5 linked regions of the Ovis aries genome follow. The protein of the gene in region 4 purifies or fractionates together with the protein of the main gene of each other region. This does not show direct contact. Links are inferred from orthologs where the notes say so. Each region holds a gene or a part of one and is shown on either strand. Other genes may lie near its edges.

The links.
Region 1: the proteins of RAB5A (region 4) and CHM purify together in Homo sapiens (affinity purification with mass spectrometry; 3 studies listed by BioGRID and IntAct, counting the BioPlex papers as one, with this or other methods). This does not show direct contact. The link is inferred for Ovis aries from reciprocal best matches to the Homo sapiens genes RAB5A and CHM.
Region 2: the proteins of RAB5A (region 4) and GDI2 purify together in Homo sapiens (affinity purification with mass spectrometry; 3 studies listed by BioGRID and IntAct, counting the BioPlex papers as one, with this or other methods). This does not show direct contact. The link is inferred for Ovis aries from reciprocal best matches to the Homo sapiens genes RAB5A and GDI2.
Region 3: the proteins of RAB5A (region 4) and GDI1 purify together in Homo sapiens (affinity purification with mass spectrometry; 3 studies listed by BioGRID and IntAct, counting the BioPlex papers as one, with this or other methods). This does not show direct contact. The link is inferred for Ovis aries from reciprocal best matches to the Homo sapiens genes RAB5A and GDI1.
Region 5: the proteins of RAB5A (region 4) and RABGGTA purify together in Homo sapiens (affinity purification with mass spectrometry; 3 studies listed by BioGRID and IntAct, counting the BioPlex papers as one, with this or other methods). This does not show direct contact. The link is inferred for Ovis aries from reciprocal best matches to the Homo sapiens genes RAB5A and RABGGTA.

Annotation. Positions count from the first base shown.
Region 1 is NC_056080.1:77,404,728-77,410,658, forward strand, and holds part of CHM (rab proteins geranylgeranyltransferase component A 1), read right to left. Parts: intron 2,656-5,931; coding exon 2,464-2,655; 3' UTR 1-2,463. UniProt on the Homo sapiens protein: Substrate-binding subunit of the Rab geranylgeranyltransferase (GGTase) complex.
Region 2 is NC_056066.1:42,505,389-42,511,291, reverse strand, and holds the end of GDI2 (rab GDP dissociation inhibitor beta), read right to left. Parts: intron 5,366-5,903; coding exon 5,266-5,365; intron 3,911-5,265; coding exon 3,739-3,910; intron 2,374-3,738; coding exon 2,229-2,373; intron 2,041-2,228; coding exon 1,986-2,040; intron 1,897-1,985; coding exon 1,750-1,896; downstream 1-1,749. UniProt on the Homo sapiens protein: GDP-dissociation inhibitor preventing the GDP to GTP exchange of most Rab proteins. By keeping these small GTPases in their inactive GDP-bound form regulates intracellular membrane trafficking.
Region 3 is NC_056080.1:79,999,506-80,006,175, forward strand, and holds the start of GDI1 (rab GDP dissociation inhibitor alpha), read right to left. Parts: upstream 4,480-6,670; coding exon 4,435-4,479; intron 3,363-4,434; coding exon 3,255-3,362; intron 3,087-3,254; coding exon 2,987-3,086; intron 2,839-2,986; coding exon 2,704-2,838; intron 2,257-2,703; coding exon 2,058-2,256; intron 1,793-2,057; coding exon 1,661-1,792; intron 1,115-1,660; coding exon 1,015-1,114; intron 662-1,014; coding exon 490-661; intron 179-489; coding exon 34-178; intron 1-33. Other genes in the region: ATP6AP1 (V-type proton ATPase subunit S1), read right to left, coding at 5,892-6,101, 6,326-6,557, 6,645-6,670. UniProt on the Homo sapiens protein: Regulates the GDP/GTP exchange reaction of most Rab proteins by inhibiting the dissociation of GDP from them, and the subsequent binding of GTP to them. Promotes the dissociation of GDP-bound Rab proteins from the membrane and inhibits their activation.
Region 4 is NC_056054.1:278,210,827-278,216,757, reverse strand, and holds part of RAB5A (ras-related protein Rab-5A), read right to left. Parts: intron 3,928-5,931; 5' UTR 3,835-3,927; coding exon 3,672-3,834; intron 1-3,671. UniProt on the Homo sapiens protein: The small GTPases Rab are key regulators of intracellular membrane trafficking, from the formation of transport vesicles to their fusion with membranes.
Region 5 is NC_056060.1:20,710,682-20,717,228, reverse strand, and holds the start of RABGGTA (geranylgeranyl transferase type-2 subunit alpha), read right to left. Parts: upstream 4,302-6,547; 5' UTR 4,071-4,301; intron 3,923-4,070; 5' UTR 3,871-3,922; coding exon 3,868-3,870; intron 3,709-3,867; coding exon 3,598-3,708; intron 3,219-3,597; coding exon 3,094-3,218; intron 2,904-3,093; coding exon 2,716-2,903; intron 2,462-2,715; coding exon 2,258-2,461; intron 1,953-2,257; coding exon 1,869-1,952; intron 1,783-1,868; coding exon 1,700-1,782; intron 1,612-1,699; coding exon 1,510-1,611; intron 1,407-1,509; coding exon 1,301-1,406; intron 1,205-1,300; coding exon 1,153-1,204; intron 1,011-1,152; coding exon 922-1,010; intron 820-921; coding exon 731-819; intron 636-730; coding exon 519-635; intron 1-518. UniProt on the Homo sapiens protein: Catalyzes the transfer of a geranylgeranyl moiety from geranylgeranyl diphosphate to both cysteines of Rab proteins with the C-terminal sequence -XXCC, -XCXC and -CCXX, such as RAB1A, RAB3A, RAB5A and RAB7A.

The sequences.
Region 1 (5,931 bases), on a different chromosome or scaffold from region 4:
TCATATGACTTCATGCTTACGGTTTTACAATAAAACCGAAAGACTTTTCTTTAAAGCTCTGAAAATAAGTATTTGCAGTAAGACAGCTGAAAAGAATGTTCTTAGAATAATTTCTATTACATTCTGAGGCAAGAGGAAGTATCTAAAGTTTTCTAACACAAAGTTTTAAACAGCTGTGTATTATCTTAATCATCACTAATGATATTCAGGAGCTTTTAAACATTTCAACAGTATTAATAAATAATCCAGAAGAGAAATTCTGATACTGGCTAATGGATGAAATAGGGTACAGTATAGATTGGGCCATGAGACCACAGAATATCTCCTTCATTGTTCAGAGAACTGTAGTAAAGCTATCAGAATTTTTCTAGTTATTCTGGGTCTACCCTGATTGGCTGTTTACATAAGTGTGCATGATGTATCAAGAAGCCTTAACTCTAAGACTATAACAAAGTACAATATTTTAATTGGTGCAGCTTACTGCATTTGTATCCAAACTCAATGCTCTCATATAGTGGAACCTTTTATATTGCTGGTACTGCAGGGCAGGACCAATACCCAGTGCTTATAGGTGTCTATTTTGCATTCAGTGCATACCATAGTTGGGTTTCAGGAAATATAATTTAAGACAGATCTGAATCCACATAACAAAGTAGGTTATAATGTAATTCTATTGTCCCTGATTTGTATAACATTATAAAAAGGGAAGAGAGGGATAGAGGGGATTAAAGAGATAGGGGAAAGGCTGTGCAATGGGGAGAGGGGTTAGGAGTAGCCTGAGAGGCTTGGAAGGTTTTCCTCTGGATTCAGCTATATCTGCTGAATTTAAACCCTGCTGGGGGGTTAAAAGGTGAGGCAAGAGCTACATTCTTTCCATTTCTCATGAGTCTGTGACCGTAAAGAGCTGGCTGAAATCTGGAGAGGTCAAAGCCCTGCTACAGCTGAAGAATGTAAGAACTATGTGCTTTCTACTGTAGCCATGGCTCTATGATCAGCAATACCGGCCAGACAGCATGACAATACACTTTCAATGAATTTATTTATTCAAATAAGTTGTTAAGTCCAAACTATTGCTCAAAGAAGATAAACCATCAGAGCTCAGCATTTGGAAAGATTTTAATACAGGCACTCACTGTACCTAGATTTGCTGTCTATTCACAGCCCTTATATTTTTATGTTAAGTGCATATTAGGGTTTATCAATTGTCATATTCTGTTTAGAGTCATTGGTGGTTTCAGGTCTAATTACTAGAAAAGGAATATGAAGAGTTTATAGAATGTTTTCCTTATAAAGATTTAAAACCACAATTCTATATGTTACTATGTTTACTCTTCTATAAGACTATTAAATACTAATTTAAGAAATAGATTTTTATTTTAAAAGCTTAATGCAATAAAAACACTATGATTTATTGTATTGGGGGAAGTGACAGCAAGCAACTATTTGCTGCACGAGATCTGATATTCACCCCCAAGTCAATGAGAAAATTCTGAAAGCACTTTTATTCCAGAAAAATCATTCTAAGGATAGCACTTCATATATCTTCAAAATAATTCTTATACAGTAGACATGTAGAGAAACTGAGGTGCAGAAAGTAAACATTTTCCCTAATATCATATTAGGCAATTTGCAAATATCATCATCATATTTGCCTAATATCAGTATAGCTAGGACAAAATTAGGTCCATAGACAATCAGGTTAGTGCTCCAGGTACTCAACTAGAAAGAATTTCCAAACACCAAAGAAGCCTATTCAAATCTTTCCTTTCATTTTCCAGTACTGAGCTTTTGTAGAATGTTCAGGACTCAAATACAAATACTATTAACATTAAAAAAAAAAAACAACAACAGCAAGGGACTCATGCCTTGCTTGTAAAAGTGTCTACTTTAATATAGTATCTTCAATTCTCTTCAAGATAAAGAACAAAACAAACCTCTATTTCAAAGATAGGCTCCTGCTTGGATTACAATACTTTAATTTTTTTCAGCTACATAAACTCATATACTTTCATCATTTGTGTCACAATGCTCACACCCATAAAGAAAATATAACTCAAATAATCAAAGGAAATTTTTGAGCCAATTCAAAATATGTGGCTTTCAAGCAAAGTGGCAGGCAAAAGCTGTCCTAATACCACAGAATTACTAACAAGGCATAGGATCACTTTCATAAACATAGCTATATTTCTGGGAATCAATCCACTTTATAATTTTTATCTGCTAATTCCACAGGTTTGGTATCTTAAAGCAGGCAAGTCAATGTGCTTTACAAAGTGTTTTGTGGTCTTAGAATGTCCTCTTTAAGGAAAATCCCCTTTTGGATATCTTTTATTGTTTTTCTTGGTAATTCTGCATGTTAACTGGCTGCTGTCTTGTAACATTTTTCAAACAGTTCTTCCATCAAGAAGACTCTCAGGCTAGGAGGATTTTCCACAGTGTGGTATCCAGTTTGGCATATACTCATTACTTAGAGGGCTCCTCTGGGTTTTTCAGATTTGAGCTTTCTTTGGGAGTCTCTGAGTTGGCCTCTGGTAAGGCACTGGATTCTGAAGCCTCTGGTTGTAAATTGTCTCCATCAAGGATAATGTCTTCAGGATTCGGTGGGGGAGGACAGAAGTCTTCGTTGGGGCAGATTTGTTGGAAAAGTGCTTCAGCCTGGCCAGGGAAGAAAGGGCACAATAGTTTTTGAACACTAACATAAAATATATGAACCTTTTTGGAACAATTTAAAAAATGAAGTATCATCCTTATAATCATTAAGTTACAGAACTTTATACAGCATATATAACCTTCTAAAATCTGCTTTCAGAACTCAAATACATTCATTCAGACCCACCCTTCAAGTATATCAGTACTTGATCAGGTGCCTAGTCAAGACTTTAAGGTCATTTATTCTACGTGTCAACAGAAATAAAATTTCTTTTAATATTCTTTATATAATTTCTTAATAGAGCTTATCTGTGATATCTGTAGTCGAATTTAGCATATACCAATTTTAACAACTGTTCAAATCAAGAACATTGTTCACTGTTCAACTATTTGCTTTTCTAGTTTTCTTCCCTCTGCTTTGAGAAGTATTACATAATCCAAGACTATGGACTCTGAATAGAAAACCAAGCCAAATGCAGTAGTGATGTGATCTAGGGAATGTTTAATTAGCATCTGAGCCTTGCTCTCTTTGTCTACAGCACAGAAGAGAGTAAACTTCTTTATATTGTAAACTGTTATCACTGTTATTAATAATAATAGAAATTGAAATGTCAAGATTTAAGCTGAGCTTAGTCTGGCAGGGTAAGAGAATAAGAAAGTAAATGTGATCTTAATTAAAAACAACAAACATATACACACATACAAGAAAGTAAATATGGCAAGTAGCACTGCTATTCTATTCTAAACATATTCCTAGTTTTATTTAGATGAATATACTTCTTTGTTAGATAGGGGTCCCTGCCAAGTTAGGTAGCTTGCATGCTACCCTACTGGTAAAAGAAAGTCATTAAAGGGTTTTAAGACATATGCTTGTTTTGCTTTAAAGTTTACAATGTCTGTCTGTACCACTTCAACCCTCTGTCCTAATGTACACACAAGGTCATCCATTAGGCCAGGCCAGGAGTTGACAACTACGGCCCACAGGCCAGATCCAGCCTGTTGTCTGTTTTCATAAATAAAGCTTTATTGGAACAGTCACTCTCATTTATCTATCTATAGCTGCTTTTGCATTGCAATGATGGAGTCAAGCAGCTGCAAAATACATTATATGGGTTGCAAAATCAAAACCATTTGCTAGATGGCCATCTATAATTGCATACTCCTGCATCCAGTAAATAGAACAGTTTCTTTCCTTCATAAGTAAAATTCAAGGGCATATTTTTGGACCTGCCATTTAACTATGGTTATTTTCAAATTAAATATTTGAAATGCCTGCTTTGCTTGCTTCCACCCAGGGATCACACTATATACATCTTTGAAGGAGACATTTAGTCTCTAGAAACAGGAGGACTGGTGTCAGACAGAGCCTCTACCTCACACTTTAGTTACTCTAATGGTCATTTTGTGTTTTATCTCTACCTAGTCTACCTGAAAAAGTTCTTCTTCCCCTTCACTCTCTGGATGCAATCACCACATCCTATTGATTTTATCTCTTAGTTCTTGACTCCATATGTTCTTAGAGACACAGATGCCTAGACACAGCTCAGACATGCACCATCTTTCCCTGGAACAACTGCAACATCTCAGAACTGGACTAGTCAATTTGCCTCTAGGATTTTCCTGTGTAATCATTTTTTATGCTGCCCTCAGAGGGGTCAATGGAAAATGAAATTCTGTTTATGCCTTGTGCTTTGTTACTCAGTAGTCTCTGACTCTTTGCAACCCCATGGACTGTGACCCGCCAGGCTTCTCTGACACGGGAACTTCCAGACAAGAACACTGGAAAGGGTTACCATGCCCTCCTCCAGGGGATCTTCCAAACTCAGGGATGGAACTCATGTCTCCTTTGTCTCCTGCATTGCAGACAGATTCTTTACCTGCTAAGCAATCGTGTTCTGGCTTAAAACTCTTCTAGACCTAAATCAAATCCCTTATGATTACACAGTGGAAGGGAGAAATAGATTTAAGGGGCTAGATCAGATAGAGTGCCTGATTAACTATGGATGGAGGTTCGTGATATTGTACAGGAGACAGGGATCAAGACCATTCCCATGGAAAAGAAATGCAAAAAAGCAAAATGGCTGTCTGAGGAGGCCTTAAAATAGCTGTGAAAAGAAGAGAAGCGAAAAGCAAAGGAGAAAAGGAAAGATATAAGCATCTGAATGCAGAGTTCCAGAGAATAGCAAGGAGACATAAGAAAGCCTTCTTCAGTGATCAATGCAAAGAAATAGAGGGAAACAACAGAATGGGAAAGATGAGAGATCTCGTCAAGAAAATTAGAGATACCAAGGGAACATTTTATGGAAAGATGGGCTTGATAAAGGACAGAAATGGTACGGACCTAACAGAAGCAAAAGACATTAAGAAGAGGTGGCAGGAATACACAGAAGAACTGTACAAAACGACCAGACAATCACGATGGTGTGATCACTCACCTAGAGCCAGACATCCTGGAATGTGAAGTCAAGTGGGCCTTAGGAAGCATCACTATGAACAAAGCTAGTGGAGGCGGTGGAATTGCAGTGGAGCTATTTCAAATCCTGAAAGATGATGCTGTGAAAGTGCTACACTCAATATGCCAGCAAATTTGGAAAACTCAGCAGTAGCCACAGGACTGGAAAAGGTCAGTTTTCACTCCAATCCCAAAGAAAGGCAATGGCAAAGAATGCTCAAACTACTGCACAATTGCACTCATCTCACATGCTAGTAAAGTCATGCTCAAAATTCTCCAAGCCAGGCTTCAGGAACACGTGCACCGTGAACTTCCAGATGTTCAAGCTGGTTTTAGAAAAGGCAGAGGAACCAGAGATCAAATTGCCAACATCCGCTGGATCATCAAAAAAGCAAGAGAGTTCCAGAAAAACATCTATTTCTGCTTTATTGGCTATGCCTAAGCCTTTGACTGTATGGATCCCAATAAACTGTGGAAAATTCTGAAAGAGATGAGAATACCAGACAACCTGACCTGCCTCTTGAGAATCCTATATGCAGGTCAGGAAGCAACAGTTAGAACTGCACATGGAACAACAGACTGGTTCCAAATAGGAAAAGGAGTACGTCAAGGCTATATACTATCACCCTTCTTATTTAACTTCTATGCAGAGTACATCATGACAAACACTGGGCTGTAAGAAGCACAAGCTGGAAGCAAGACTGCAGGGAGAAATATCAATAACCTCAGATATGCAGATGACACCACCCTTATGGCAGAAAGTGAAGAGGAACTAAAAAGCTTCTTGTTGAAAGTGAAAGAGGAGAGTGAAAAAGTTGGCTTAAAGGTCA
Region 2 (5,903 bases), on a different chromosome or scaffold from region 4:
CACCTCCTCTGCTGAAGACGGAGACTGGCCAGCAGGCGCCTGCCAAGCCATCTGTCCTGTGACTGAGGGCTGAGCCACGCCGAGAGGGTGGGCACACTAGGCTGAGCTGCAGTACAGACTCTGCCCTTGGCAACCCTGTACCCACTGGCCTGGCACCGACATTTTATTGTTCAATAAATATGCTGAATGCAGAACACGAAGACACGCTGGTGCTCTCTTGTCTTGTCATTAGGCCAGCAGGCACCTCTGCTGCATTAACAGTTCGGTGTGAATTACTGTGTGACAAGTGGGTGGCCTGTGGGAATTTTAGATAACTCTCTTTAGAAAGGGCAGAGGTTTCAACTGGGATGATCGGGGATGTCATCCAGGGAGGTGCATACCATGTGCAGAACAAGCCCCCCAAAAGTGGGCAGTATGAGACTGAGCTAAAGTAACCACCTGGGTAATCTAAGTTGTTATTACCCTAAATCCTTTAACAGAGCAGAGCACCTACCTTAGTCTATGTCCTTCAGACTCATCTGTAATAATCAACACTCAGACCGAGAGAATAGTCACAATGTCCTCATTCCTCTGATATGGTAACAGCATAAAGTGAGGCTTGAACTATCCAGGGGAAAGGGGGTACCATTAAAACTATGTGCAGCTATAATCTGAAATAAATGGAAATATTAAAGCACCTACTCCACTTGGCAGGGTCCTCTACTCTCTCATGACAAGAGTCTGTTTCTAAACCACTACTTGGGATTCCTAGGAGGGTCTAATAAACATTGTGTCAGGACGTAATTCAGGGTCTACTCACAGTGCAGCCTGATGGTGGTGCTCCACCGTCCACGAGGGGTCTTCAGCGCTCACCCTCACATCTGATTCCAGCTCTAGTGAAGGAGATGAGCAGCTTGTCAGGCCAGTGCAGTACTCACTAGCTCTGAGTTGTCAGGACACAAAAGACGAACAAGAGGGAGCTGGTTTCCAGAGTTGGGCTTTATTTGCAGTACAGAAATCATTTGGAGACATCACTGGAGCAGAGGTTCTGTCAAATCAATACTGTGCTGCAGCTTGGTCCGTTGAAGAAGCCACATCTGGGATACAGAAGAAGCTCCTACGTTTACCTGCTTTATGATGGGTTTCTTTCCCCTCTGCGCTCATCAGTTTTAATAGGTTAAAACACCGCACACAGGCTTCCTCCAAAAGACTATCCAAGTCTGGAGTTTGGTTAGAACTGGAGGCCCATGTAAACCAAGCTTGTGGCTGGGCTGGGTGGGCACTGTCCTGACACATGACGTGAACAGAAAGGGGTGGGGAGGAGTAAGGGACGCTGTCCCCAGTTACAGACATTCAGTTCTGAACCTCCTCACCGTCAAGAAGACAAGATGGCACGCAAGCTGCACTGACCCAGCTCTTGAACAGCGGAAGCTCATAACTGCAAAGGCTACACTGATTAAAAGATACAAATACTGTATCAAGTTCTCTGTATCAGTATCACAAGGTTTTAAAACTGATCCTTCACTAGGAAACACAAGCCAATATTGGTTAAATTGAACAGAACGTGGGAACCCACCAATTCGGAAGAGCCACTCCATGAAAACAAGTTAATACATGATATTAGAAAGGGGAGGAATATTTACTGGTACAGTGCTCTGCAATCTCTCAGTTTTGATTACAAAAGCAGGCCTTACAATACTGATTTCATACAATATGCATCATTTGCCAAATTTTAAGTTTGTCCTAATTAGATGATAACATGTACTGCTGTTAGTCTTCCCCATAGATGTCATTTTTCTTGCGCTTCATTTCCTCAAAGTCAAACTCGGATCCCATCATCCTCTTATAGATGTCCTTAATGTCATCACAGGTCGTCTCAAAGTGAGTTGTCGCATCATAGGTACGGGATATAAAGATCTGGAAATGAAAATCACAAAGACTTGAAACTTATCTGGTGACATCACCCAATGAAGCTTGGTAATTACCTTTTTCAGACAGCCACTCACCTGGCTTTCTGTTCCCAGGTCTTTTGGTACAAGGAGGTCACTGATGCTAACGAATCTGGAGGGGAGAGAGAACTCAGTCAGCAAGGGAGCTGACATGCCCCTCACTGCTGGGCCTGATACTCCAAGCCCAGGCAAGGAGGTTGGGAAGAGCCGACGGCTGCACTCACTGTTCTCAAGGGTTCAGTTCACCACGGAGCCAGTCGGTCCCGGGTCTGAGCTGGCATAAACAAACCCAGCACTTACTTCTGCTCAATTGGTTCCAGGAGCTCCAGGGCTGGTCTGATTTCCTTCTCAGGCTCCTTGGTCTCCACCGTTGTGCTGGCGATGGCAATGTACTTGCCTTGTGCGGCCACATTGTGTGCAGAGGAGATCATGCAGACATAGATATCTGGAAGCAAGCAAAGCCACTACTGCCAGGCCCTGTGGACATGGGGCCGAGGTGCGCACTCGGTTTCACCCCAACTTCAGCGAGCTGTGAGTTAACGTTACTTGGAACAGACTATCTTCTGAGACAAGTTCTATATGGAGGCAAACACGGTCAGTCGTACATAGGGGATGGAAATATTCAGCCACTTTGAGCCTACTGGAGATGAAGGAAGGGGTCACATGGCAGTGAGTAGTGGACGTGGACATGAGTCTGCCCAGCTACCACAGCTAACTGTGGAAACCTGTCTCTCATCCCTGAGTCCTGCACTTAGAAAGGTTCTGACTAGCCAAGGTGGGGTTTAACTACTGATTTCTCATTTTTTTTAAGCAATAAAAATTGCAAACAGCATAAGCTACTCTTATGTTGACATAAGCTCATAATAATTCCACACTTGTCTGTGTAACACTAAAGTAACTACATAATTTCCAATACAGAAAACAATTACTAGGCTCCCCTTACTCTTTGTTTTCTTATTTATTCTTTTGGCTGTGCTCAGCCTTCTCAGAGGCTTCACTTGTTTCTGAGCATGGGCTCAGTTGCTCTGCAGTATGTGGAATATTCCCAGACCAGGGATCAAACCCATGCCCCTGTACTGGCAGGGGGATTCTTAACCAATGAACCACCACCAGGGAAGGCCTCACCTTGACAGACCCTGAGATCTACTGGGAACCCTTGAGAGATTACTTTAGTCAAAGTCCCTTTGTTTCAGTAATAACCTTCTGTGATTTGATTTCTTATATGGAAAATACATAGTTGGCCATTTAAAGGTTAATAGTTCCTTTTAAGTTGAAGTTTATATAAATAAAACCTTCAGGGCTCTAACTGAAAGGAAGATGGGAAATGCTACTTAGATGAAAACCAATGGTTAAAGCAAACAGATGCAGAATTATGATTTCAGAGCTAAGTTGTGATCTTAATCAGAGAAATCCAAGTTGTTTTCTAGCACACTGCTAAAGGCAAACGCAAGTATAGATATTGACAAATCATGACATAATAGTACTATGTGCTGTCATCAGCCTAAAAGTTACAGTGAAACCAGGTCAACTAATAAGCATAAACTCCCACAAGCATACAATGTTCAGACGAGACACAGTGCACTCATAGGGTCCAGCTCTCGGTTCTAGAGGAGGGAAGGGAGGCCCCAAGAGGTGCGTCGAAGTCAAGGCAGGGCTCCTGGCCTAACGTGTCCATTTCAAAGTTATGGTCTAGGAGTTCTATGAGCTAAAACCCATCACATTTTCCATGTGTAAACTAAAGTTTCTTCACTCTAATAGAATAGATAAAAACTGCAATTTATGCAGACGTTGCCTGACCTCTGTAACGTACCTGACTTCCGGTTGACTTGGTTCTGTGGAATAATGATCTGGCAGGAGTTGGCGTCGTTGGTGTTTTTGATGGGGTGGCTGAGGATACAGATGACTCTGATCACCTGGCCCACTTTTTCTACTCGATCTTTCACATAGCTGGGATCACAGATGAGCTGCTTACAGCGAGCAATCTGCAACAAAACATTGAAGACTTTCTAATACTCAGTGTTCATCACAATGTTTTTAGAAGGTATAATGATGCCACTGTTCCCTGAACATCACCTGTTATCTTCATCAAGTTAACCACAGATAATTAGTGAATTAGAGATAACTATTAAAACTAGCTTTGCCAACAATCCCTGTAAGTTCTCCTGGAGCAAATCTATGAATTTTAAATCTTATTCAAATAGATAAAATGTGTTGCATGGTGTTTAGACATATAAGCTTTAGAACTGGGCAGAAGAGGGCTCACGTACTGCTAGAATTAAATGAAACTGTTCAAGAAATGTCATTATATGTGAATGGACCCAGTGAGAAATAAACGCTTATGGTACAAACAAACCATAATCACTCTAAGTCTGTACTTCCCAAGTAAAATTTAAGTTGCAAGATAATTTATGTATTATTATAGTTTTCCTCTTTATATCAAAGCACTGAAATGTCCTAAGAGGAAGCAGTTGCCTAAAACAAAGAAGAATGAATAAAAAGAACCTTGAGTTATCAGATTAAAATATTCACCCCTATTTCCTAAACATCTATTATGTGTATGCTAAAAGCACAAGATAGTTACAAAAGATCTACAACAATAAAGGGTCAGAGGGTCAACTAGTGAGTGTAGATTAAGGTCTGAATCCATGGAATACAATCAGGAATGCCAAAAAAAAATTTTTTTAACATATGAGGTTTTTTTTTTTTAATAGTTCTATTTGTAAAAGTTGATGGTTCATGAAATATGGTCTGGTTTGCAGATCAACAGCAATGGCACCCCCTGAGAACTTGGAAGAAAACGAAAACCCACCACAGAACAACTGAAAAAAAAAAAGTACTTTAACGAAATTAACAATTTATATTCAAATTTGAGAAACACTGTTCAAAACTCCTGGCCAGTTCCATGGCTAAACCCCAAATAATAAATGTTCATAGTAATTATTATTGACATTATTAATTGTATGAATAATAAAAAAACGGTATTGGCCAAGCCCCATTTCAACCAATAAATTGTACGTGGAACAAATAAAGCTAAATTTAAATGAAATTTGGGAGATAGGCACCAACCCACAGCATATAAATGAAACTTACCATTTAGAGTGCGTTCGTAATTTCTGTTTTAGTATTAAGCAACAATCAACACAATAGAAAAAAAAATTTTTTTAAACAAAAGCACACCTGTAACTAGTTTTCGGTCGTTATGAACACCCAGTTACCATAAAGAAAACATATGTGGTCTGAAATCCGGGCTCAATGTCCACACCAAGTTAAGTACTTACTAGACAATAAAGTTTTCTTTACAAGAATATCATTTTTTTAAGTTGTAAAAGGTTCTTACCTCTCCTTCAGATTTTACACCAATCACCTTTCCATTCTGCATAATGATTTCTTCAATTGGTTTATTCAGCATGTAGGTACCTCCATAAATAGCACTTAGCCTAGGGAAAAAGAAGTATTTACAATTAGTAATTTATAACTGCTAAACTACTAGTCTCCTTTCTTAGACTTTCATGAATAGTAGGCAACATTCGTTCAATTTCGTTCCAAAAGGCATTAGTTTAAGTCATTAAAGCATCAATTCTAAAACAGTCAAAACCATGTAAATGATGTCTTACTTTCTGTTATGAAAATAGTCAAAAAAAAAAAAAAACACCCACACTGACCAGTAACAAGAGAACAGCTTTGTAAGTCTATTCTTCTTGCATATAAATAAAACTGAACAACAAAACCAATCAGGAAGCACTGGATACTGACTAAAAACAGGCAGAAACTAGGTAAGAGACTTGAAAGGAAGCAGCTGCATGAGATCTTCATGTGGTCTGTATGGCTCTTCCCCTGAAAGAACCAACCTCCCAGTCCACAGGCTTACTGATTTAAGTTGCCATAGACAGAACGTGGCCTGCATGAGGAGATAAAAATTGTGGGGGAAAAAAATCTTCCAAAATGGGAAACAGCCAAATTACAAAATCTCTTCAA
Region 3 (6,670 bases), on a different chromosome or scaffold from region 4:
CCCAGCTCCAGCCCCAGCCCCCCAGCCCCTCACTTCTGGTCAATGGGCTCCAGCAGCTCCAGGGCCGGCTCAACCTCCTTTTCGGGATCTGTGGTCTCCACTGTGGTGCTGGCGATGGCAATGTACTTGCCCTGCGCGGCCACGTTGTGTGCATAGGAGATCATGCACACGTAGATGTCTGCCCACAAGAAAAGCTCCATTAGCAGGGGCACGTGGGGGGCTTCTGGGGGCCAAGCTCAACACAGGCCCTCCTGCCCCTCCCCAGCCCTGCAGAGCTGGCCACATCCCAGAAGCCGCCCTCGTGGAAAGGAAGCATCCCTCCCTAGGGCCTCAAGGCATGGGGACCGTGATGTGGATCCCTGCTCTTCCATGGAGGGATCGAGCAGAGAGCCAGCCCCCGCGCTGGGCAGGGGGCGGGGAGGGGCAGCGAGACAGGGCTACCCCAAAGAAGAGAACACACTGGAGGAAGTTGTGTGGGGCTTGGCCTACCTGACTTCCTGTTGACCTGGTTCTGGGGGATGATGATTTGGCAGGAGTTGGCATCGTTGGTGTTCTTGATTGGATGGCTGAGGATGCAGATGATACGGATAACCTGGCCGGCCTTCCGCACACGGTCAGGAACATAGCTGGGGTCACAGATCAGCTGCTTGCAGCGGGCCACCTGTGAAAGCACCAGAAGGCGTTGGCCCTATCCGACCCCCCCTCGATGTCTGAAGGCCAGGACGCCCAAGGAGGGCTGGCAGCTCTGGTAGACGGGCCACTCCCCAGAGCTGTCACCATCACCCCTCCCACAGCGTACATTCTCCTCCCGCACCTCGGGAAGGTGGGCCCTCATCCACAGCTGTCTGCTGACAGCAGTGACTACCGTCTTCCTCTGGAGCCCCGGTCCCCGGGGCTGAGGCGCCCGGCCAAGCTGTAGGAGCCCCAGCAGAGCTAGGGTGACCAGGAAGAGTGTCTCAAAGGATGGGCTGAGCCCAGCCCAGCCCAGCGTGCCTGTGCAGCAGGAAGGCTCACCTCGCCCTCGGACTTCACGCCCACCACCTTGCCATTCTCCATGATGATGTCGTCCACTGGTTTGTTCAGCATGTACGTCCCCCCATAGATGGCACTCAATCTACAGTGGGGAGAGGAACCATGAGAGTGCCTCCTGGGAGACATGGGGACCAGCACTACTACACGCCCTGCCCCCAGCAGTGCAGGGCATGGAGAAGGTGGCCTCAGGCAGGCAGAGCTCAGGAGACCTGGGGGCTCTTCCAAGCTTTGTTGCTGCCAGGACCTCAAGACTGAACCTGGAGGGGTCCCTCCTCTCTAGACTTACTGCCAGAAATTTCCAGCTAAGGGCTAGTATGAGGGCAGCTCCTCAGGGAAACATCCCAGGGAACAGAATGAATGGCTCTGATGAATCTGACCGGAGGTTTCAAGGCCACAGGCCCAGTCCTCGTGCCATCTGACTCCAGCCAGGAGCCAAGCGAGCCCTATCTGTGATCCTTCATCTCCGCACTACAATGCCCCACTAGGCTGCTATCACCCGAGGATGGTGGGAAGTAAACTAAGCCCACAGTGAGAAAGTAACAAAACACAGTGGAGATGCCCAAGGGGGCCCTTTCCATTGTGGGCCTCAGCCTTCTCCACTGCCAATCGACAGAAGCCACGCCCTCACCTTGCAAAGCCTTGGGGCAGCTCGCCAAGGCCATAGAGTGGGTACAGATACGGGCTCTTTCCATACCGAGCCAGGGATTCGCTGTACAACTTGATGCGGTTGATGGTCTCGAGACATGGCTGGTCCAGGTAGCTGGGAGAAATAGGGTCAGAAGAGGCTCCAAGAGCAGAAGGCCCAGTGCACCCCCACCCTGGCATCAGGCCAGCCTTCCCACCCTTGCAGGCCTGGGAAAGACCATTGGTCAAACACAAGGAAGGGACAGAAAAGGCGACAGGTGAGTGAGCCCGGAGCTGAGTATGGGAGGTAGGCAGGGTGAGCCAAGGGAGCAGCAGGCAGGAGTGGGAGGGCAGGGTGTGGGCCGGCTGAAGGGTCATCTGCCATGCCAGTTTCCCCTCACTCATCAGTGCGGTAGAGCGCTAGGGCATGGCCAGTGAAGTCAATGACATCCTGCCCCAAGTCGAACTTCCGGTAGACGTCACGCATGCTGGTGTTCTGGGGGTCGACACCCTCAAAGGTCTTGGGGTCGTTCTCATCAAAGTTTGCCACGAACACCAGGAACTTGCGGAAGCGCCGTTTCTCAAACATGCCCATCAGGTCTGTGAGGGCCACATGCAAAGCACCACTGAGGTACGGGCCGTGACCCTCTCCACCTGCCAGGCAGGCAGAGCAAGCCGGTGCCCTAACTCCCAGCAGAGTTCTCTTGCTGACCACTGTGTGATTTTCAATTAACCCCTCTGTGCTCATTGGCCTGTTTTCTCAACTGTACCAAGAGTGAGTCTGGCTGGACAGCCTCTGAGAGCATTCCCAGCTCTGACACTTGGGGATGTTTCACTGATCAGGTGAAGCCTCTGTCCAGGACACCATATTCCCTTCGCACTTGGACACCTCTCCTGGCAACCAGTGGGTGCACACAGGGGGATGATAGAGCAAGGGGCTTTTGGTACTGCACAAGAAACATGGCCTGCAGCAAGGGCCATCCTGCTCTTGATAGCTATCCCCCCTTCCCCCACCCCGATTCCCTGGCTCATGGGACCCACACTCACTGGAAGCCAAGGCTTCAGTCTCGGTAGATGGTACTTTGTAGATCTTGCCCCCCTTGTAGACAAAGCTGCCCTCCACCACCTTGAAGTCCAGGTAGCGTGTCACCTCTGTATACAGTAGCATCTTCACAAGCTGCCCTGCAGGGCGGTGTGGGAAAGGCAACACAGTCAGCATGGCTCCCTTCACAAGCTCAAGCTGGTCTGTCTGTCCCTGGTCTGCAGTCTGACCCTTCTCTGCTCGTCCCAATCACCCCGCCTCCCACAATACCTCCTCCGTCTCCCTCACCATTGGCCATGAGGAATTTGGGGATCAAGTCAACGTTCCAGTCTCGGCCCCGGCCCATTGTCTCAGGGGGCCCCTCCAGCAACTGAAAACGCTTATACAGCTGCAGGCAGCAGAAGGGAAAAGAGAGACAGAAAGATGCATCTCAAGGAACCCCCTCCCACTCCCGCCCCTGCCCCCGCCCCCCACCCAGAAAACCTGGGGAGCTGCTTCATTCAGCACCCCATGCAAGAGGTTAACGAGGGACAGGCCTGGGCCCAGAGCAGCCTACCTCCTCCAGGGGGGTGATGGAGGAGCTCTCACCCCCATAGTAGGGGTTCCGGTCCATGTGCAGCACCTTCTTCCCGTTCACAGACATGATACCCGACAGGATACATTCCTGAGTGAGGGGCAATGTTCACTGCACTCCCATCTGCCCACATTCCCACAAGCAGCCCTGACCATGTTCCCCACTCCAACCCTGAGGGGAGAGTCAACCTGAAGGGCCTCTGCCTCAACACACAGCTCCTTGCACCTGTGGCTGGTCGCTCTGCCTGAAATTGGGGGGGGGGGGGGACACCTTCATTTGACCATGGTTTCCTTTTAAAACCTTGCTGGGCAAAAAGGTGAACAAGGAAGAGGGTATCCAGCAGACACATGGATGGTCTTCAAGCAACCAAGATGCCAAGAAAATCATCTATCGACGTAGAAGCCCACAAAAAGGCAAATAAAACACAGGGATCGCCTAGCTGGACAAGCAAAGGACCCGAAAAGGAAGTAAAGGCTTAGCATGGTGCCGAAATCCCAGGCCCCACCCTGGGCCACTTTCCTCAAAGAGGAACCCCTGACCCTGAGCTTTCCCCGTCACAGTAGGGGCTTCCACACCCGACTGTTGGGGAGGCATCTCTCAGGGCAGCAGTCCAACAGGGTTCGGGGGAGGGCAAACAACCTCACCAGTCACTGTCACCAGCCCAAGGACAAAGGCTGCAAATGCGCCTCAGCCCCGAGGTCTCCATGGGAAACCGGGGTGGGGTAGTGGGAATGTGGTCACGGTCCCCACCACGGCTCCTTCTGGAACATTCCCTGGGTCCTCGGGCCCCCTAAGAACCTGGGAAGGCAGGATGAAAGCCCACCCTGGGAAGTCCCCCCGCCCCGATCTGACTGGAGGTCCCTGTACCACGACATCCCCGTCAGAATGAGCGCAAAATGAGAAGGGATGTTAAGTTGGTCCTGGGTAGGGGCTGGGGGTCGGGCCCGGGGAATCGGTCAAGAGAGACAGCCAGAAAAGGGGCCGCTTCTTGGCAGACCGGCCATGACAGGGATGGAGGCCGCGTCACGGTGGTTGGGGACGGGGCTATCTTTTCGGGGACCGAACAGCGCCGCGCAGGCACTGATGGGAGGATGGGGCCGGGGGCTGCAGCATCCCAGGGAGGAGGACAGGCGGCGCCCTGGACACCGGCGGCCGCACTTACGGTGAGTCCGGTTCCCAGCACGATCACATCGTATTCCTCGTCCATGGTCAGGCCTCGGTGTCAGCGCCCGTCGGCTCCTCCTCCTCCGCCACAGCCGCCGCCGCCGCCGCAGCCGCCGCCGCCGCCGCAGTGGACCAAAGATGGCGGCTCAACCGTGCCGCTCAACCCCTCCGCCACGTCAAAGAGTCCCGGCCCCTCCCCTCCGCCGCCGCGCCGACCGGGGGCCCCTGCTGTCCCCGCTTGCCTCCCGGGGAGGGTTGCTGGAGCCCGGGCTCTAGCACTCGCGCCACTCGGCGGGCCGCGCCGCTTTGCCGAGGGCCTAGAAAAGAGGGCGGTGAGGCGGGGCGGGGCGGGGCGGGGCGGGGCGGGGCGGGGCGGCGCGGCCTGGCAGACGGTGCTGAGGTCCGCCAGGGATCCGTGCGCAGGAGCCGCGCGCGCCCCGCCCCGGGAAGCTCGGCGCGGCCCCGCCGGCTGGGCGCGCGCTGCTGCAGCAGCCCGAGGCGGGCCCCTAGGGACGTGGGGGCGACTATTGTCGTGGCCGTCTCCCCCGCCTCCCTCTCCCGGGCGCTGACGGCCCCCGCCCTCCCCTAGTCGCTGAGGCGGGGGCCGGGGGAAACCCAGCTAGCAAACAACCCTCTCGGCCTCCGCTTGGTCCCTGGAAAAGCAGCCTCCATCCCTCCATCCTCGGGCCTCCTCTCTCGGCCGTCAGCCAAGTGCATCCTCCCTTCCTTGTGCCCAGCGCAGAAATGAGTGACAAGAAGCCCAAGCATGGCGACCCGTCTTTATTTTATTCGGAAGGAAACCACGAGCACCCCAGGGCTCCTGCCAGGTACTCCCGACAGGAACAGGTCCCAAACCCCGTGATCACACCCATCCCACCTGCCATGTAGATCCCTTCCTTCTTAGGCCAAAGGAATAAACCCCAGTGTACGTCTTATTGTTAGCACATCACCAAAAAATAAAATAATAACGCCAGCTAAGCGGGACAGACAAATAGTACTTCCACACTCCCCCCCAAACTCAGGGAATGGAACAGCTCCTGGCTGCTACAAGGAACCCCATAGAGCCTGGGAAGAGAGGACTGGCTACACAAAAGCACTATCAACAGCAAGCAGCGAAGGTGGAGAAATCAGAATAAATAAGGAGAAGGGGGGTGGATTTTGTAGAACTGATGGCCCCTACCTTTATAATGATCAAGCCTGGGAGATCTGTCTACTGTCTATGCAGAAATATATACACCTTGTGGAGAGAGATGTGGTGGGGAGTGGGCAGCCTAGGGAAGACCCTCAGCAGGCTGAACAGGTAGCCTGACAAGCTAGGGGGAGCCAGGGAGTCGTGCAATGGCGGAAGAGGGAGAAGCCTTCCTGCCCAGTGGGCCTCTGATGGGAAGGTGACAACCTGGACCTCAGGCACGCCCTCAATCCCCCCCCCCATCCCCCGCCCCTACAGGTGTGGAATCACACGATCTGGGTCAAAGTGATGGTGGGGCCCTTGTGGTCGTCGAAGCGGTCCATTGTCTTGAGGCTGAGGATCATGTGCAGACCATAGGTGAAGATGAACAGCATGAACAAGGAGGTGAGCAACCCCATCCAGATACCCGGGGAGAAGAAGCCTGCACAGTCGCTAGCATAGGAGAACTGCTCGCCTGTCACATTGAAGGCCTGGATCTGAGGGACAGAAAGCACTGAGTGGCCCCACCCAGAGAAGCCCAGTAAGGGCTGGGGGTTCCCCAGCTGGTGGGAAGAGAGCAGCAAGGGTACGGGACTCCCCTACACTCCCAGGCCCAAACCTGAAAGGACCCAGAGACCCTTCGCAGGCCTCTGCTCCCCTCGAACCCCTCCTCCAGCCACGGCTTCCCCACTATCAGGCACAGTCCCTCCTCCCTTCCTACCTGGAAGTCCCGAAAAGTCATCTGCCAAAGAGAGGGCTGTGTGTCAGGCACAAGGAGGTTGCCATCCTCATTTTCACTGCTGACATGCTCGCAGTGGAAGGAATAAATGCTGGGCCCCGTGACCTGGGAGGCATTGAAGTAGGCGACGGAACCGTTGCTATGGATTTCCAGGTTCTCCAAGGTAAACCAGTACCGGGCAGATACCCGGTAGAAGCGGTTAGCCAGAGTGAACCTGGGGGGGGAGCATCGCGGAGGGAGGTCAGGCAGCTGGAAAGGCTGGAGCCACAGCAGCCCACCCACCCCTGCCTCTCAGACTCACTTGAACGTCACCATGGTCCCAAAGAG
Region 4 (5,931 bases):
CTTCTAGTAAAAAAAAAGTCCTGAAATAATTATGTAAACATTCTCTTTAGGGTTAGTAACTGCTGCAAACAGCTTTAGACAGAGGGCACTTATTTCGAGTGTTCCGCGCATCGCCAGTCCTTGACTGCCAACGGCCACAAAGGGGAGCAGCCTCAGTGCAGATGACTGGAGACGCTGGCTGTTCAGCTCCTTTAAGTGAAGACGAGGCAGAGAGTCCTCGATGGAACAGAGAAGGACTACGGTTGTGAAAGAGGCCTAGCAGATTACCGAGACCACCGTACAACCTCGATCGACCACCGCGATCCTCAAACTGGAGTAGCTGACGAACAGCATGCTTTTTTAAAATCCTACAAAAATCACAGTTTAAAAAAAAAAAAGCAATTATCCCATTTACTGACTGTGATATCAAACATTTCTCTCTGAAAGAGGAGAAAGACGGCATGCTTTTTCACTGCACATTATAAACTTGCTCCGATTTACCCTGAGGATCCACTTGCTTATAGACAGCATGCGAAAGTCTTTTTAAAAACAAGTGTATTTTTGACACAAGGAATTCCCCAGAAATCTTTGAGTCTTTAGGTGTTCAAGTTGTTAAGTGGAAGATGGCCAGCCCTATCATCCAACAAGTATTTACTGAAGAGCTTCTGAGCCTCCAGATGAGATAACAAGAAGGGAGGCAACCACCTGAGCCTAAAGCTCCCCGCAAACCTTATGGGCTAGTCTCAGACAAACAGCAGGAACACAAATGTCACGTGGCCTTTAACTCCTGCCATAAGCTAGAACTCCCCAAAGCCCTACACCCAGCCCCTAACTACCCATCTCATTATGAGAGCTACAGAATCAAGGGGCAGGCGCGGGCGACACAGGGAGACAACATGGATTCTTGTTTTCTTAAATCAAGCCACCATGTTTAAGAACCACCACAAAAACTGACGACATCTGAATGTTCTTGACCACTCTAAGGTTCCAGAATACACAAATTCAAAAGTGCAGTATATCATTTCCACCTTACAACGCAACCAGAGAAGGAAAGTTTAAGTGAGCTCTTAAATGTTACTCAACATAAATAGTTAAATCTAAAATAAAGAACAGACGAAACATAAAACATCCGGCCAGGTTCATTTTTAGATAACTCCCCCTACACATCAGCCAGACAAAAACACACACTACCTACGAGTTACAGATCTTAAACAACTCAAACCTTGAAATCCTTAGATGCTTACAATCTACTCTAGTCCTTAAGAGTAAAGAGCTGCTTAGCAAAGAGCATAAAACAGTGCTCACTCTGTAAACAAGTTAATACATCTTACGCCTTAAACACATTAATTATCTTTCAAAAACAAAAAACCAGGACTAAAATGTGGTCAACACACTGAAAAGGTATTCAACAACCATTAAGACAGAAACTTGGATGTAAATTCCTTCTAAAGGTGGTTAAAAATGCCAGATTCAATCTCTACAAGTACAAAGTATTACAAGTTTTACATGTTAGAATGAAAACTTTTTGACAATTTCATTAATGAAATGTAAACAATCTAATTGGTATTAAATGGAAACAGGGATTATATACACACACTCATCCACACATATCAGAAGATATGTATATTTATGATGTATGACATGGGGTTAAACTTTTCTTTTAAATGTCCTTGAGATGTCATTAGGAAAAAGTACTCTTAGAAGGTTATTGGGAGTGTCCGTAACAAAAACAAAACTCCTCTCGGCCTACATTTCCCAGGAATTAAGTTCTTTACTACAGTGTTTCACTGCTTCTTCTATTTTAATATGTACTGTGAAGGCAGGGAGGGTAAGAATATAGCAAGTCCCAAACTCATTTTGACCCAGGTGTTTAGCCTACAATGCACGTGTATTTTGGGAAATGCTGCAAGCAACGATCACTTGCCAAAAAGCAGTTATAATAATTAACCTTTTGCACCAGGTTAAGCTGGGTGGGCACAGTCTCCAAAGTCTTTAAAATTTTTCCTACCATATGGGCTAGGCATCACTGGTGGCTCAGTTGGTAAAGATTCTGCCTGCAATTCAGGAGACCCTGGGTTCAATGCCTGGGTCGGCAAGACTCCCTGAAGAAAGGAATGGCCACCCACTCTTTATTCTTGCCTGGAGAATTCCACTGATAGAGGAGCCTGGTGGGCTACAGTCCATGGGAACGCAAAGAGCCAGACACAACTGAGTGACTCATATACTGTGTGGACTAGTTTCCTTTGGTCCAGTTTGTTTTCTGGAGGAGGCTAAAGCTTGAGAGGTAATACTTCATTACTAAACCACATATACACACATGTATTAACAAGGAAACAACAAAGCATGTGTGATATATTGTTCATCACAATTTTTAAAGATACCAAGATTTCTAAATCAAAATAAAAAACTCATGTGAAGGACTGTATTTCTGATGCTCACTCATTATAAACAAACATGAAGTATTAACAATAAAATGGGATCGCACTGTAACATGCTCCGCAAACACTGGGGGCTGGCTGGCCCTTGTCATACTGCTAGTCTGTTAGGTAGGAAATATCCGCTGTCTACTGCATTTCCTATAGAAAAGTCAGGAGACAGCCGAGTCCCGTGATTTGCATTAAAGGGAGGATCTAACATCGTAACATAGCTCTCAGTGCACTTGCTTGAGGTCATGTGCCCAGCGCACAGCGTAAGTCACGCTTCTAAAGATGGGCTCCAAAGAAGTTCCCATATGCCAAAGGGCATCTACCTTACATGCTTCAGAAGTAAAGTGTTTGACTTTTTAAAACATGGGGTTAAAAATACATTCGTGGACACCTGAAAAAATATGGTCCTGCTTAATTACACACCTCTTGCAAAGTAGCGTGAATCTTATAGCTGTGTGGTTCCTCTGACATTACCTAATTCAAAAGCTCATTTGACACATTAAGCAAAACCAAAACGGGCTTTGCCCCACTGCTACACAGCTGCAGACCTAAGTTCAGGGATCTCACTTCTCATCTCTTCCCAGTACAGCACTGTTGGCTGTCTCCTCTTGGTCCCACACCTTCCTTCCCTCCAGTCTGAACACCGTCCCTGTGTCCCTGTGAGCAGTCTTGACGCCACCTCTTTCCCCTTTTCTTTCACTTTCTCTCCAGGTCTCATTTCCCTTTTCATTAATCACGTCCCTCTTCATTAATCACTGGCTTCTTCTCTTCCCTCACCCTAGGACCATTCTTAAACATGTTTGATAAAATGTAACTAGTTTTGCAAATCAGTGTAATTTGTAAATAGTCCAGTTATTTAGAATTTAAATGGTAACTCTTTTACTCTTTACTTTTACTATTTTCGCCATTCATTCTAAAGCCAACACAATTCAGCAGACGTGTGATAATTTGAAAATGCTTTTAAACATTATCAAGAAAGATACCAATCAAATCTGAGACTTGGGACACTGATTCTACTCATGTTTGCATCTGTATTTTATGATCTTGGAGATAACCAGGAAATCAAAATATTAAAACACATTATCAAAAAAAAGCAAAACACATTATCTTATCAAAAATCAAGCTATAAAGCTTGAGTCTGCAGCTCAGCTCTTTTATTCATGCTGTGACCTATTTAGTTACCCATCATCATACAATCAGAACTGCAAAATCTTATTTGTCAACGTATGAGTCAATTAAATGAAGAAAGGTAAAAGAAAATCTCACCCCCGATGGTACTCTCCTGAAATTCATGAAACTGGCCCTTTACGAAACGAAGCACAAGGCTCGACTTGCCAACAGCAGACTCCCCCAGAAGCACCAGTTTAAACTGGCAGATCTTATTCCCAGTGTTTGGCCCGTTGGGTCTTGCTGCTCCTCGATTAGCCATGTCCAAATTTGAAAGAAGTCCCTAATATCAGTTTCTTAAATGAACTTCCAGGATGCAAGGAGTCAATTCTTTTCTTTCTGGAGGTAAAGAAACCTGTAAAAAAAACAAATATGAAGTAATTAAAAATACAAATCAGCAAAACAAAGCAAACCTCACATCATCACTTTAAAATTTTGCCTGCAACACAGTAATACACGACAACTAGAACCTCTATTGGACACTGACTGCCATTTACTTTAATTCACTGCCTTGATTAATAAGCAAAGGTATGAGCTTTGAGCCTAAAGTCATGCTGTAATTTTTAAGCCTCTGTAAACATTCTAAGTCTAACCTTTACTAAAGACTCAATTTCGTGCCAGATGGTTTTAAATACTTAACATAGCCACTCAACAACCCTATAAAGTTGCCTATTCCAATCCTTAAAAAATGAGGAAACAAGCATAGAAAGGTTAGGTGACTTGACTGAGGTCACACAGTTACTGTGACAGAGCTTCAACAGAGCTGATTTTCAACCCATGCAACCTGAAAGGTGACTAGTTCTGGTTCTGGAACTAGATTACTTAGGTTAAAATGGTTTTGAGTAAAATTAAGTCAATTAAGGAAAAAACCTTAGAGCTTAAAACAGTTAAGCTCAATAAAAGTCAGCCATTATTCTTTGAAGGCTCCTTGTAAATGGCACATGCTTTTTATTTAATGGTAACTTTGGAGCAACAAATATTTTAAACAGATCTATGTCTGGTGGCTAAAGGATTTAACACTGTATTCTCATGTCCTCAAATACATCATCCATGGAAGTGTTAACAGCGGTTCTCCGGATGGTGAGTGAGTGAGTGTCCTACTTACTTATACTCTTCTGCAGTTTTGGGGCTCACAATTAAACGTGTCATTATTTTCTATTTAACACACTTACAAAAAACTAGCCTAAAATGCAACTTCTAAGTCTTCTTTTATCATTTAATAATGATAATTCTCAAAGATACTAGCAAACTTTAAAAAAATTATTTTCCAAGCTACTCACAAATCATTAGCTCAGTCAGTAAAGACTTTGCCTGCAGTGCAGAAGACCCTGGAAAAGGAAATGGCAACCCACTCCAGTATCCTTGCCTGGAAAATCTCATGACAGAGGAGCCTGGTGGGCTGTAGTCCATGAGGTCTCAAAGAGTTGGGCACGACTGAGTGACTAACACTAAATAACTCACAAATCAATCATAATAGCTTTCTTCTACTTTTAATCAAAATCTGACCCTGTGCTTAATAACATTAAATATGATGATTCTCCTTCTCAAGTCACTGTTGGATTTCATTTAGGTACCTCGTAAGAAATTTGTCTTGCCCATGAAACGAGTTTATACAAGAATCTCTCTTAACAATCAACTCATTAATAAACATATCTATGAGACCATACATCTAAGACAATAAAATCTCCTCTACTTTATCTAAACAGCAGCACTGAAGACCTCTTATCTTTCAGTAATACATACTGTACCTAAAATATTTACAAATGAAATAATAGATCTGAGTTGCTCCCAAACAATGGGGGTATAAATAAAACAAGATAACTGAAGCTAGTTGATGGGTTCATTATACTATTCTTCCTGCTTCTGCATAAAGAATTTTCTGTGATTAAAAAAATGCTCCAATCTCACATCTATCCTCCCACCACTCCCAAACATACATCTGGGGATCTAATTCGATATAACTATACTAATTTCTGTTGGAGCAAGTGCCTTCATTTCAAACTCTCTACTCCGGAATATCCAATTTTCACAACTGCTGTGAGAAATTAAGAGAATATATACCTAAAATATTTCTGATACAGTGGTCAACACATAGCAGCGATTGAAAATAGGCAATTAAAGTGCCCCTTTGATGAAATAATGACCAAATATCAATAGAATGTCATGTAAACTGAAAATGTACCAACAAATCTTCATATATCACACACAACAGCAACTGAAACACTTCCCAGCTATTACCTACAGAACAGCAAACTGAATTACTCATCAAGGACAACGTGCTCTGAATTCCTATAGTCCTCCCGAAATTTCAGGGAAAGCATCAGATGCTCATTAAAGGAAAAAAAAAAAAAGATTTAAC
Region 5 (6,547 bases), on a different chromosome or scaffold from region 4:
GGTCCCCAGCTGAGGACAGGAGGGAGCAGCTGGGAAGCATACCTCACCACCCCCAGTAGTACATGCTCCTGATCAGGGACACGGGGTCGGGGTGGCCTGTAGTGCAGGGAGCGGGGCAGGTACACGGTGCTGGTATGAACACAGATACCAGTGGGAGAGGGCCCAGTGAGCCCGGAGTTGGATTGGTGGGAGCAAAGGTGGACAGCAGCACCGTGATAAAAATAACGTGTTGGGGAGATTGATTAGGAACGACTACAGAGGAAAAACAGAGTCAGGAGTTTGTCAGGAATCTCTGAGAACTATTCAGCTGTTAGGTGTTGGGGTCTGCCCCAGGGAGAGAAGCATGGAATGAGCTAAGGAAGAAATGTCCAGAAGGGCACGTGAGATGGAAGGCAAAGCGGGGGACGGTGAGTGTCTTGGCTGAGGCCTGAGGAGCAGATATAGACACAGCCGGTCCTGAGGAAGAGGGAGGCGGGCCAGCGGGGTGAGGGTGGGGGAGGCGCATGCGCACGCCCTACCTTGTGACCCAGGTGCAGCACGCGCACCTCCGCGTACTCCATCTTGAGCACGCTGTTCTCCAGCAGGAACTTGCTGCGCAGGTCGTCCAGGTACGCTGCCCTCATTGGGTCCACAGCCTGGCGGGGAGAAGAGAGCACAGGGGCTGTGTGTCAGCTGCCTGGCCGCTGCGTGCTGGGCTGCCCCGGTGCCAACTCCCGCGGACCCAGCTTGCCTTGAGGGTTTGGAAGTACTGCAGGGTCTCCTTCTCGTACTGCAGGGGGTCCAGCGCCCTCATCAGCAAGATGATGGTGAGCAGGCACCCTGGGGAGAGGGTGGGGATTAGGACAGAGGGATCCTCCTGGCAAGGAGCCTGCCTAGGATGGGCCCCCAGAGAAGCAGGAGCTCGGGGGAATCGGGCCTCACATTTATTCTCAGGCTCCAGCTCCTGCAGCTCCTTACAGGACTCCAGCTCCGACTGTAGCACGGTGGACTTCTCCACTGACAGCTCACACCTGAGGGTGGGCAGGGTGGGGGAGCAGTGCTGGTCATCCCCAGTAGCCAGTCTGAGACATCTGCTTGAGCCCTCAGCACCCCACCCAGCTGCCCAGAGTGCACAGCCCTGCTCCTATCCGTGTGCTTCCCTGTGCTCATCACCTGAAGAGCTGCTCATCCGTGGCGGAGTCCCGGCACCAGCCCTCTTGGCGGCCTGAGAGACAGAGCAGGGGTAGGAGAGGACACCCATGAGACGAAGACAGGGATTGGGGGCGCTGCTGCAAAGGGGGGAGGCTGCAGGCTGGCTCACCTTTTAAGAGCACACACTCCTTCTGGGCATCGCCTGCTGTCCAAATGACACGAAATGTATGCTGGGGCAATTGGTCGTTGAGGGAGGTGGCGGGCAGGTCACAGAGCTGGGAGCACGGGGTTAAGAGAAAGCCCAGGCTGCACCACTTTTCTGACTGTCCCACCCCAGCCCTGTCCCAGCCCCGACTCCACCCACCAACCCTGGGATACCCAGACGTGGCTAGGCCGGTTCCTGCCCTCTGGGGTCCTCCACTCCACAGCCAGGGGTGACTCATCAACCATGAGCAGCAAGGTCTCCATGCCGGAGCCCACCTGATGCAGGGGACAGAGACAGACCATCACTCCAACGGCACCAGGCCCACCATCCACGGTACCCTTCAGCAAAAGCTTCGGGACTCACGAGGAGAGGCCGAGAGAAGGAGACAGTCAGGCATGCCTCATCCCGGCTCACGTGCAGGCAGCGCAGGGCATCCTGGGGATCAGCTGTGAGAAGAAACAGTCTCAGGTCTCCTTAAATATCCTTCCATTCCTTCTTGGCTCCAATCCCCCACTTCTTCCCTACTGTTCACCTCGTCCCAGGAGCCAGCGATGGTAGAACCAGGCACTCTGATCATTGGGGTCAGTGAAGAAGGCGTTCTGCACCAGCTCCAGCTCTGCAGGGGCCAAGGAGGCATGGTGCTTTGGTTAGGACCCTTCTGGGCTCCTGTCTACCCCTACATACTGCCCTCTCTTTGGAGAACTTCCTGCCTTCAGTTTCACTTATATGCCAGCCTTACCCAGGGGCTGCGTACATCAGGAGCCAAGTGGACACTTGGGCTCTCTGCAGCCAGGGGCTGGATCTTATGCATCCCCAGAGCCAGGCATTTTCCCGAGTGGTAGGTTCAGGAGCAGGCCTAGGCATCAGGGTCAGAAGGGCAGCATGGGAGAGTCCTCTCAAGCACTCCCTGACCCTGCTTACCTTTGAGCAGCACATCCTCAGGGAGGCGCCCCTGGGGTCCAGAGTCTGGCTGAGGGTGCAGCTGGGGCAAGAGGCAGGAGCGGTAATGCCAGGAGGAGTAGTTGGAGAAGTTTCGGGTGATGAGGCTGTCAGTGAAGGCAAGCTCCTCTGCAGGGGGCACAGCTGCCTGTGCAGCCACAAACCGCCGGTAGTCCCAGCAGTGAACTGGGGGGATAGGCAGACAACACATCTCAGAAGCAGGGCAAGAGCTGCCTGGCTGGGACCGTGGCATCCCCTTGGAGACCCCAAGAAACACCTCTGTGCCCTCCATGGAGGACACATTTGGCCTCGTCATCCCTTGTGTCATCAGCTCAGTGGACCCATCCTGGCCATCCCTCCCAACTCTGGACCTTACTGAGGCCCTAGTACCGGGACATGGGGCAGGTGTAGGCAGAGAGACAGAATCTGCAGGCACGTACAGTTCCGCTCGTCAACCTCGAGGAAGCGGGCACACAACTCCAGCTCCCGGGCCCAGTTGGGCTCTGGCAGGCGGCCCAACAGCCAGCAGCGGTGGTGCCAGGTACCATAAGACTTGGGGTTCACCCTCAGGCAGCTCTCCAGGAAGCCCAGTTCTGCCTTCACCAAAGCGGCCAACTCCTCAGGGGACCTGTGCCCAGAGGAATGGGGGTCAGGGCCCTCCAACACCCAGTCTCATTTCACCCTTGACTTTTTGCACCTAGCCCTCCACTGCCCTCTGCCTATGCCCCTGGCTGCCCCATTCTTCTTCCACCCCTGGACCTAGGCCGGGCAGGGCCAGAGCGAGGGCCATCTTCCTTGGGCCCTAAACCTCTACATACTTCTGGACCTCCAGCTGCTGGAGCACCTCTCGTCGACAGTTCCAGAGGGTGGCAAAGTCAGGGTTGGCTCCCAGAATCTGGCTTGTCAGTTCCAGCACTGACTCATCCAGCTCTCCAGCCTGGCGCTGAGAAGATAGATAACAGGATCAGGGATCACATCACTCTTCTTCTACAGAGCTCCATAACATAAATAGAACTACTGAATGTTCTGTGAATGCCACACTTTACTACAAGTACTATACAAAGCCCTTTATGGGATAATATGTAATCTTGCAATCATTGATTTTCACAACAGCCTTATGCAGTAAGTACAATCGTTAGCCCTGTTTTACAGATGGGCAAATTGAGGTCCAAAGAGATTCAGTAGCTTGCCTAAGGACACACAGCTAGTAAGTGATAGAACCTAGATGTGGATTCTAGCAACCTGACTCTAAGGCGCAGTTCTTGGTCAAGTGCTATGCTAAGGGAGCCACGGTGGGAGGGGACTACCTCTGAGGGCCCCACCTTCTGGAAGACAGTCTGGGTGGCTGCCTGGTATAGCTTCAGCTTCTGTTCCCGCTCTAGTCTTTTGGCTTCCGCTTGCTCTTCCGATGTCTTCACCTTCAGGCGCCCGTGCTATGGTTGCAAGAGTGCAGGCTGCCTTGCTGGGGCAGACCCACCGGAACCACCCCTGCGGAGCCCCAGGTTTATATCGGGAAACGGAGGCAAGCCCACGCCGGACAAGGGCAAGGGCGTGCGCATGCAGAGGTGAGGAGCTGGGCTCAGGGTTCTCACCATGGTGCTGGCTCAGATTCAGGGCAGGGGAAGGGTCCAGTGGTGCCTGTGAAACCTGGCGAAAGACGTGTCAATCATGGGAGTCCCGCCCCTCGGAGCCCCGCCCCTCGATGTCCCCAGGAAACCGTGAGCAAGCCCGGGCGGAGACCCCTGGGGTGTTAAGGGGTCCCGGGACAGACACTGCAAGTCCAGGAGGAACCCACCCGAACTGGTCTTGCACACGTGCGGCCCTGCCTACAGCCCGATCCGCCGGAGCTGGGCCCGAGTTGGGGCACTTAGCTTATGGAGACCACTCTGTGCCCAGAGGTTGCCGCTACCCGCCCGCCCCAAGGTTCCCAAGCACTGCTGCCCCCCGCGGGCGGACCCACCTGTGCTGGGAGGAGGCGAGCGGGACGCGGAGCTGCGGCGCCCGCCACCGAGCCCGAGCGCTGGCTAGAGCGGCGTCACGCTCTGGCTTCTCCGAGGCGCAGCGCCCTCTGCAGGCCTGGGGAGGGGCTCGCAGGAGAGCTTCCGACTCCGGAAGCGCCTGCGCAGGATTCCTGCGCGCTCTGTTCGAAAACGCCAAGTCCTTGTTAGCCTTCTGGTGTGTTAGTGTGAACGCTTAACTCTGATGAGCTCGGGAAAGCAGCGCGGGGTGCAGTTCCCAGCCAGCTGCTCAAACTGCGTTTCAGTTGAAAAAATTTCTTCCACAGTCGGAAACCACCCTTTCAGCGCTCGAGTGACCTCACTCTGACCGCACTGGCCACCTCTTAGTTGCCAAACCTAACATGAAGTTTCCTGCCCTTATCTTCGTTGACCTCTGCAGTGTTTGATGCTACTGACTTTCCTCGACTTGACACCATGTTCTGGTCTCTCCTGCAGTTTCGTCCCTCTCTCCTCGTCTCTTCAGCTTGTTTTCCTCTAAATGATGTTGATCTCCTTTCCTACTACTTCTTTCTTCACACCCTGCTCCTGGAAGAATGTTCACAAATCCAAGCCTTAAACTGCTTGGAGCTGGAGCTCCTCAGAGCTCAGTCCTGGCCCACACTTTCTCTGAGTGACTACATTGACACTCTTGCTACCTGTACACCAATGGCACTCAAACTTGTATCTCCAGTCCACATGTCTTGCAAACTGTAATAATGGAAAAAAAAATACAGACACACACATATTCATAAGCCTATTAGGTATCACCTGGGTGTTCAAGAGACACCTGGAACTCCAGAAGTCAAAAAGTATCATTGGCTCCTCTCCTTCCAGTCTAACCTTTGGCCTTCATGTTACCTATATCAGTGGATGGCCTCCGCACTTTTCCATGATATCTCATAAATACCCCCTCCATTCCCACTGTGCTAAGAATTTCAGTTCATTTATTCCAGAGATAGTTGAAAGTCTTTTCAATGTCCCCTCATTTTCACCCTGCCACCTCTTTACCTCTGTTGCTGAGTCAACCTTTCTGAAATGCAGATTTGATTGTGATGTGTCTCTGCCAACAACCCTTCCATGAAGCTTTTTGGGAAAAACTCTGATTCTCTCAGATCAGCACATCAGGCTTTTTGGCATTTGGGCCCTCCTTATCCTTATGGCCTCATGTTCTGCCTCTATGAAAAACTCTTCATTTCTGCTGATAGAACGGCTTGGGGTTTCCCAAGCTTGTTAACCTGTTCCCTCTTCCTTACTCTCCTTCCTCCACACCTCTTCCTTTGCCAGAGTAACTCCCGTTCACCTTTAAAATTTAACTCAAGTGTCACCTCCAGGAAGCTTTCCAAAATACCTCAATCTGTCAATGATAACACTTATTCCTCTGTCCTACTCTGAAGTCTTGATGTGTATGCTAGCTTCTCCTAGGAGATTCAAAGTTCCTGGAGGACAGAAACAATATTTTTTTGATCCTCCTTCTCCAATACCTGGGCCCGATTTTCAGTAGTCATTGGATAGTTATTTGAATGACTAGAACACTGCATAGTGAGGGCTGGCTTGGCTGGGCCTAACGGTCAGTGCTGTGCACATTTAGGGATCTGAGAGATTGTGAGGCCTGGCCCAGCTCAGGAAGGTTTCCTGATGGAAGCTTCATGGGTTCAGAGTGGTCACTGATTGTGTATTTGTGAGAAGTGTGTGTCCATGTGGCATATGTATAAGACACATCTGGGTAAAATATGGCTTTAAATTCTTTATATTTCTTCCCCACCTTTCTTAGGCCCTGGAAATGCGTGTAAAGCATCCACTCTCTATTCTGTCCTGACAAGCTTCAGGGAAAGAGACACGTGCCCTGGCCTCCTATACTTGTAGTCACCTTCCTCACTGGGACTGCAATGACAAGCACCGTGTCAAGGGCTTTGCACACACACAGGATTACATGTGGGAGGCAGTAAGGAGAGTGCTTAGGAACATGGACTCTGGGGTCCAACTGCCTAGGTGCAAATTCTGGCTTTGCCATTGATTAGCTATGTGACCTGGGCAAGGTACTTAATACCTGTGTTGAGTTTCTACTGTGTCTCAGTATTTTCAGCTGAAGCATAGGGAAAATAATGTTACCTACCTGCTAGTGTTGAGTGAAAATTAAATGTAAAGTCTATGTAAAGTGTTTAGGACAGTGCCTGAACAGTACTAAGTAAGGACAGTACTGGGTAAGGTAGATAATAATGGTAATAGTTTTTTCTTTTTGGCTGGGCTGGGTGTTCATTGCAGCATGTGGGGGCTT